2 linked regions of the Oryzias latipes genome follow. The protein of the gene in region 1 purifies or fractionates together with the protein of each later gene. This does not show direct contact. Links are inferred from orthologs where the notes say so. Each region holds a gene or a part of one and is shown on either strand. Other genes may lie near its edges.

Region 1 (4,185 bases):
GACCTGCACGACCACGCCATCACTCAGTGTAGCATGAGCGTCCACATGCCGGATCTTTGTGTGGCATTCACTGAACTGCAGGGACATGACTTTTTTGTGGATTTCCTAGGAAAATTAAAAAATAAATAAATTTATAAATATATAATACGAAAACAATTTATGTAAAACACTCATCCTTCATAAGTTGCACTCTTGAATTTATATTTAAATATTGATGAACATTTTTAAATAAGCTGTATAATTTTAAAGTCCAAAGATTTTTTTTAAACCTTGTATTTATGTGTGTGTGTGTGTGTGTGTGTGTGTGTGTGTGTGTGTGTGTGTGTATTTATATATATCTATATATATATATATAGATATATATATGCATTTCCCCCATAGAGAACTAGATCTCAGTAAATATAAGAAAAGCAATAACAAAGAACAGAAAGTAGTTGAAGTCTAAGCAAACAACAAAATCCTTCTGATGATCACACTTACAGCCTGACCGTACACTGCTTCTGCCAGCTTTCCACTTGGATCAAGTCCTCCATGAACATAGGAAGAGTTTCTCCCGTAGAACCTAAACACATGATTAAGACGTTGAATAAGAACCTGCAGATTTATTGTACATAAAATACCTCAATTATATTTCTGAAGTTACCTGTGCAGAAAATCCGGTGCCTTGTTTAGAAGTGTATAGTACTGCCTCACAAACTCCCGCCCTACAAGCAGGGGACTTGGCTTCTCCATCACCATTTCTTTGGTAAACAATATTAAGTGCTGAAACAAAAAAAAAAAAACAGGATCCATCAGAAATTCTAATTATGCATGAAGACACAGATATGACAAAGGTTTTCATACTGCAGACTCGGGTGACTGATGTTTTATATAATATAAGTAATTTATATAAAACAAGAAAATACCATGTAAAGGACAAAGTGAGATATAAAATAGAATTTCAACTGACTTATTTCTACTTTAAACTCCACAATATAAGAGGTCATCGCTGAATGCTGGATAATATAATTCGGTAACCTTTAGGACAACTGTTCGAAAACAGGCATGTCAAAATCTCAAGACATATTTAATCTTCCTCAAATAAAAGTACAAATTTTCTTGTTTCTATTTAGGGTTTTTAACCCAGTCCAATCCTTGATTACTTTAGATAATCTAAAACGTTGGACAACATTTATAAAAATTTCAACAAAAAAACAAACGCAAAATTGAAGAAGATTTTTACCATGATCATAAAGACCTTAAGCAGGTACTGAAACCTTTAAACCCAAACCAGGCTGTTTGTAATGAGTAACTCACCTAGAGTCATTTGGTTAGCGTTCAAATTCAGGTTTAAATTCTATAAGAATTTCAGACTAGGGCCAACTATTCATTTGATTCCTCTAATTGGCCGATTACTTAAAACCTTACATTTTTCTCTCAGAGCATGTCAAATGAATAAGTAATGAAAAGAGAGAAAACCGTGAACATCACAACATTTATCCGGATCAAAGGTGTTCATAACGGTTAACATTCTGCGACATCAATAAGACAAAGGGGGGCAAACCGACTGTACATAATAAAAAACGGGAAACATCTAGTGTAAATGCTCAAACTGGTGTGTAAAAAGGAAGATTAAAAAATTTAAAAAAAAAAAGAATTCTACATTTATTTGTCACCACATTTCAAGAATGTGTTACACAACTAAGCAAACCTTCCTGACTAGAGGCCTTATGGGGAGGCCTTACACATCCTAAGAACTCTTCATCACCTAACATTCTTCTACGCATGTTCAGAACATAATGTGACAGACACGTATAAACGCTCTACTGAATGCCAATTCTACCGAGCTTGTAGAGACATAATGTGCACGCGCTGTCAGCAAACGTAACATTAACTACAAGGTGAAATAACATTTTTATTCACAATATGCCGGCCTTTGCGCTGCCACCAAATGGCTAACGCCAGCTAACCCCTAAGAAGAACGTCATTGCTGCTTAGCTAGCTAGCTTCAGCTAACGTGTGGCGTCGTCGCATTTTCTTCACAGTCAGTTATAGACTAAGTTATTTTTTATTTTATTTTTAACTTTATATTACTATTGAAACCAACTGCAACAAACTAGTTCAGGAAACCTCCAAAATGCTGACCACAAGCTGTTAAATAGAAAATGCCAACATGATGACGGCAACACCTGGCGATACTAGCCATTACAGAAACTTAGCCTAAACACGTAAAAATAACTTCCTCATTTTAAAATCGTATTTTTGGTTACAACACAAAAAAATCAATACAAAAAAATGTTTGAAATAATACTTTCTTGCTATGTCAATACATCAACATCCAAATTCGTACTTAACGTTGAACACCACCACCACAACTGAATGCTCGGTCGGTGCTAGCTTAAGACAACAAAGGAAAGCGTGTTCCAAATCTCTTTGAATCACAAAATGTCCCCGTGTATAGTTAGGAGTACGGTTGCTTATATTAAAAAAAACCGTTTCACTGAAAATTGTAAATATCAACAATACAATCGAACAGTTGTTGTGTGGAAGGCAATATTGCTAACGCAATGCTAGCTGATACGTTTGCTTCGCTTAACCGAAATCTTGGAGAATGGCTAACTAACTTACCTTCTGAAGGACCTATCAAAGTAGACAGAATCGTGTGGAATAAATTACGACAAGTACCCGACTGTAAACTGTTCCCAAATATAGGAATGCCGAATGTGAAAAATTATACTTTCGAACCTCCTCTAACTACAAGTAACAGATCTCTGCTGCACCAGAGATTCGCCACTTAAAGAGATAGGTACGATTTATTATTTTACCCCTGTAATCTCGGGTAGGGGACCCCCATTAACCTGATTCAGCCAATAGACGGCTGAGGTGAACATGGCGTAGGAAAAATGGCCACGCCTACTAACAAAACGCTTTCATTACAAAATATACATGTATACTTATAGTTTTAAAAAATCACGATTTAAGAAAAACCACTCACATGCTGGCAAATTCTGTCTTTTAAAAAATGTTAACTTTCCAGTTTCAGTTGTGAGTCTCTAGTAATTGGACAAAACCAGTACAATCCCATACGGTTAACAGATTCTTCCTCCATGTTTTTTTTTTTATCTTGACTGTATTTTAACGTATGTATTGTTTAAATAGGTTGTTCATTTATTTTTATTTTTATCGGGATTATTCAGATTTCCCTTTTTATTAAATGCATTATTCTTAATCTTTTATTTACCTTAGCAAAAAAAAAAAAAAAAGAATTTGGATTGCTAGTTGTATTGTTGAGAAATGATATGGAAGATGAAGAGGAAGATGATTTGTCCTTGTTGATGCAGAGATGCTTGATCGAGTTGTATCTCAAGTAAACATTACAACCTGCGTTTAGGATCACATTCCCACTTCACTTTTTAAAACATTTTATGGATTCTTTGAGTCCGATCTTTTAAACATAGTTAACTGCTCTCTTCAGATGGGGGTCTTCCCCTGGTTTGGTGAGGCCCCTTCTGAAGAAGAGTCAGTTAGATCCAAAAAATCTGGATAACTACAGACCCGTATCCAAATTACCATTTTTAAGTAAAATTATTAAAAAAAAAGTGTCGCTACTCAACTGCATGACTTTTTAATCACCCAAAAAATTTTAGAAAAATATCAGTCTGGTTTTAGGACAAACCATAGTACAGAGACGGCTCTTTTAAAGATCGTTAATGATCTTAGAATAAACTACGACTCACAGAACTTTCTGTTCTGGTACTGCTAGATCTGAGTGCCACTTTTGATACAGTAGATCACCAGATTTTATTAGACAGACTTAGGAGTCTAGTGGGCCTCTCTGGAAATGTTCTTAAGTGGTTTTACTCTTACCTTACAGGTCGACACTTTTATGTAAGTATAAGTATCTTTAATTTTAGTATCTTATCATGATTTTAGCCCCAGTGTTTCTTGTGGGGATATTTTCTTCCAGGGCTTGCCGGCTTGGTCGGTGGTTGTTGCTGCAGTTGTTGCCCTTGCTGGGGCAGCTGGAGTCTAACTTTGCAGCTTCACGTCTGTGAAGTGGACCCGAGTGTTGTCCCCGTCTGGGTGGGCACTGTGGCGATGCTCCCATGGCCAGGCTGGCTCCTGGCATGAAGAGATTCCCAAATACTGTTTCCTCACAGCAGAGCAAAGCCATACTTGTTTGCATATTTATTTAGTTATTTTATT
Region 2 (3,500 bases), on another chromosome or scaffold:
CTTTTTTTTATTATTAAATACAATTCTCCAAACAGTTTTCTGGGTAGACAAAAAAAAAAAGGGCTTGCAGTTATTTTTTTAGGTATCTTTGTGGATTAATTCATTCGCTAGAAAGAATCTTCTTTCTCTTTCGGCTTTTCCCATCAGGGGTCGCCACAGGGAATCATCGTCCTCCACCTCACTCTATCATGAACATCTTCTACCCTAACGTTAGCCAACTTCATGTCCTCTGTTAAGACATCCATGTATCTCCTCTTTGGCCGTCCTCTTGCCCTCCTGCCAGGCAGCTCCATCTCCAACATCCTTCTACCAATATATCCACTATCCCTCCTCTGAACATGTCCAAACCATCCCAGTCTGGCTTCTCTGACTTTGTCGCTAACACAGGCAACATGAGCCGTCCCTCTGATGTACTCGTTCCTTATCCTGTCTAACCTGGTCACTCCTAAGGAGAACCTCAACATCTTCATCTCCGCTACCTCCATCTCAGCCTCTTGTCTCTGTCTCACTGCTACCGTCTCTAACCCATAGAGCAGAGCTGGTCTCACCACTGTCTTGTACACCTTTCCTTTGAGTCTTGCTGGCACTCTTCTGTCACACAACACTCCTGACACTTTCCTCCAACCGCTCCAACCTGCCTGCACTCGCCTCTTCACCTCTTTTCCACACTCCCCATCACACTGAACTGTTGACCCCAAGTACTTAAACTCCTGCACCTTCTTCACCTCAGCCCCCTGTAACCTAACGCTTCTACCTTGATCCCTCTCGTTCAGACACATGCATTCTGTCTTACTACGACTGACCTTCATACCTCTTCTTTCCAGAGCAAACCTCCACCTCTCTAGCTGTTCCTCCACCTGCTCTCTACTCTCACTGCAAATTACAATGTCATCCGCAAACATCATTGTCCAGGGAGATTCCTGTCTTACCTCGTCTGTCAGCCTGTCCATCAGCATAGCAAACAAAAAAGGACTTAAAGCTGATCCTTGGTGTAGTCCCACCTCCACCTTGAACTCCTCTGTCTGACCTACAGCACATCTCACCACCGTCATACTTCTCTCATACATGTCCTGAACTACTCTGACATACTTCTCTGCCACTCCAGACGACCTCATACAGTACCACAGCTCCTCCCTCGGCACCCTGTCATACGCCTTCTCTAAATCTACGAACACACAATGCAGCTCCTTCGCTAGAAAGAATGTGGTTTTTAAAAACAGGTAGTTACAAATGTGGTTATTCTAAACATAAAATTTTTTTAATTTTTAAAGGTTATTCAAACTCTTGAAAAGTTGGGATGTTATAACCAAGTAACTCAGCATCGCATAAGCATTACAGTAGTCACATTTACCAATCTAAATGTTTAAATTAAAACTATTTAAAGATGTTGTAGATTCTTTAAGAGCTTGAAAGACGTGTTGGTGTGTGACTGACAGAAGTTATTAAAAAACAGGCTTTTTATGTATTCAGTTATGTTTACACCACACTAATGCAAACAGCAGTGTATTCTGTGCAACCATTGCTTTCTTTTGGACATTTTACACAAAATGGTAAAAGAAAAATCCACAAAGAAATCTGTAAATAAATAAAAACAAAACTATAAGTAAGCAAAATCTGGTTCATTCATTGAAGTGTGAGGAATTTGCTAAAGTGGGAGTAAAGTTACTCTTGCATTTTGGAGTGATTAAAAAGAAAAAGAAGGCAATAAAAAGTAACTAAAAATAGTGCCTCTCTTTTTTGTGTATCCACACAAACACAAACATTAGCAGTAAAGAGCTGAGGATGATCCTTAGCTTCAAACCAGCACATTTTCTTTAGTCCCACAGAAACCGGAGTCAGGACTGGTCACTGCTGGGAAATGCTGTCAATAATTTAGACCCAAACTATTCCGAGTTCAAACCCAGTTCAAGTGAACCATAAACACATCAGTGATGACCTGCATTTGTGCGTTTCTCCCACTACAACCCATTTCTGATAAGCAGTGGATGAGCAGCTCAGCTTCAATGTCAAAGTGAAATCAAGTCAATTGAAAGTTTGATTAATGTTACTGCCAGTTCCAGAAATAATGCAGCCAGCTTCATTACCCAGAAAGCACTGCACAGCAAATAGTGCTGATCTAAATGGTGGGACATTTATATTCTGGTCTGTGAAGGTCTGCTCACCGGACTGAAGTTGTTCTGACGGCATCTCTGCCGGCTCTGCCGGATGCTGCGGCTGACTGCTGAAGGCCTGGTTGTAACTGTTCTGGTACTGGTTAGCGTGGTTCAGAGCTTCTGCCTCATTGGCTGGTGGGACCGGAGCATTGAGGTTGAACACCTGAGGAACGGAAAAGCCTCCATGAAGATGAAACCTTAGAGCTGCTTCACTTCAGACCCACAGAATCAACCATTCCTGTTGTGTACATCATTTCATCATGACAGGATTAACATCTCAGTCTTTGGCTTAACTTTAACTTCAGCGATTCCGTTAGTGAGAAAAAGATAAATTAAAGTGGATGCAAAAATAAAATGAATTTCAAATCAAGCCGTCAAGTTCCCCTTGACAACAGATGTGTGTTGGAGCAGAAAACTGCAGCCTCAAAGGTCAGCCTCTGCGTTTCTGATCAGACTTCTTCTGAGCAGCAGGAAGTGAGCGCCATGAGTCTTACGGTTTGCATCGACTGGAATGGAGCCGCATTCACATTGATGCCGCTGCTGTGGGGAGGCTTGGAAACAGCCGGGAATCCCTGCGCCTGGGAGGCAGGGGCGAGAGCCGTGGAGGGGGGGGGCTGCTCTGTCGACAACGACATGGAAGTCTGTTGAAGGAACACATGTTTACTTTCTTTGTTCACTTTCACTCAGGATTATTATTTTTTATCAGTTTCCAGTCAGGTTTACCTGGATGGGGTCGATGACCTCAGGTGAGAGTCGAGGCTCTTGGGCGTGTGAGCTCTGATACATGGGTGGGGGGGTTGGAGAGACGATGGGCACCTGGGAATAGAGAAGAGAATACTTTAACTCGGAAATCTGAGTAATATTTCAAAGAATATACTGATCAGATAAAACCACTCACTTGCGTGGGTTCAGGTTGTACAGGAACAGAGTTTGATTGTGATAGCCGGGATTCAGGATGAACTGAAACGGTGGAACTTCTATCAGCCTATCGGAAATCTAAAGAAGCTGTTTTTAATCATAATCAGCTACAACTTACCTGGAGGACAAACCATCTGTGGAGCTTCCATGTTCTGAGCGGGCTTCATAGGCTGCGCTGACACAATAGCCGGGTCAATGGGCTGTCCATCATACTCCAACATGGAGTCCTGAGAGGAAAAGCGTTCAGGACAGCAGAACGCAAAGTCGAGCCAACTTTTGTTTCCCAAGAGTTCCACCTCACCTGCATGAAGTTGTAAGGTCCTTGCATTTGTGCCATGAGGTCCTGCACGACCTGCTTCCGGACCATGGGGTCACTGGGTGGAACGGGAGACGATAAGTCTATGGGGTGGGTTTCAAGAGAGCCGGGGG

What was found. The genes of interacting proteins can lie anywhere in the genome.
Region 2: the proteins of g3bp2 (region 1) and caprin1 purify together in Homo sapiens (affinity purification with mass spectrometry; 5 studies listed by BioGRID and IntAct, with this or other methods). This does not show direct contact. The link is inferred for Oryzias latipes from reciprocal best matches to the Homo sapiens genes G3BP2 and CAPRIN1.

Annotation. Positions count from the first base shown.
Region 1 is NC_019859.2:16,816,681-16,820,865, reverse strand, and holds the start of g3bp2 (ras GTPase-activating protein-binding protein 2), read right to left. Parts: upstream 2,801-4,185; 5' UTR 2,608-2,800; intron 763-2,607; 5' UTR 739-762; coding exon 644-738; intron 563-643; coding exon 481-562; intron 106-480; coding exon 1-105.
Region 2 is NC_019864.2:14,871,555-14,875,054, reverse strand, and holds part of caprin1 (caprin-1), read right to left. Parts: coding exon 3,373-3,500; intron 3,299-3,372; coding exon 3,190-3,298; intron 3,114-3,189; coding exon 3,052-3,113; intron 2,970-3,051; coding exon 2,877-2,969; intron 2,795-2,876; coding exon 2,648-2,794; intron 2,317-2,647; coding exon 2,163-2,316; intron 1-2,162. UniProt on the Homo sapiens protein: mRNA-binding protein that acts as a regulator of mRNAs transport, translation and/or stability, and which is involved in neurogenesis, synaptic plasticity in neurons and cell proliferation and migration in multiple cell types.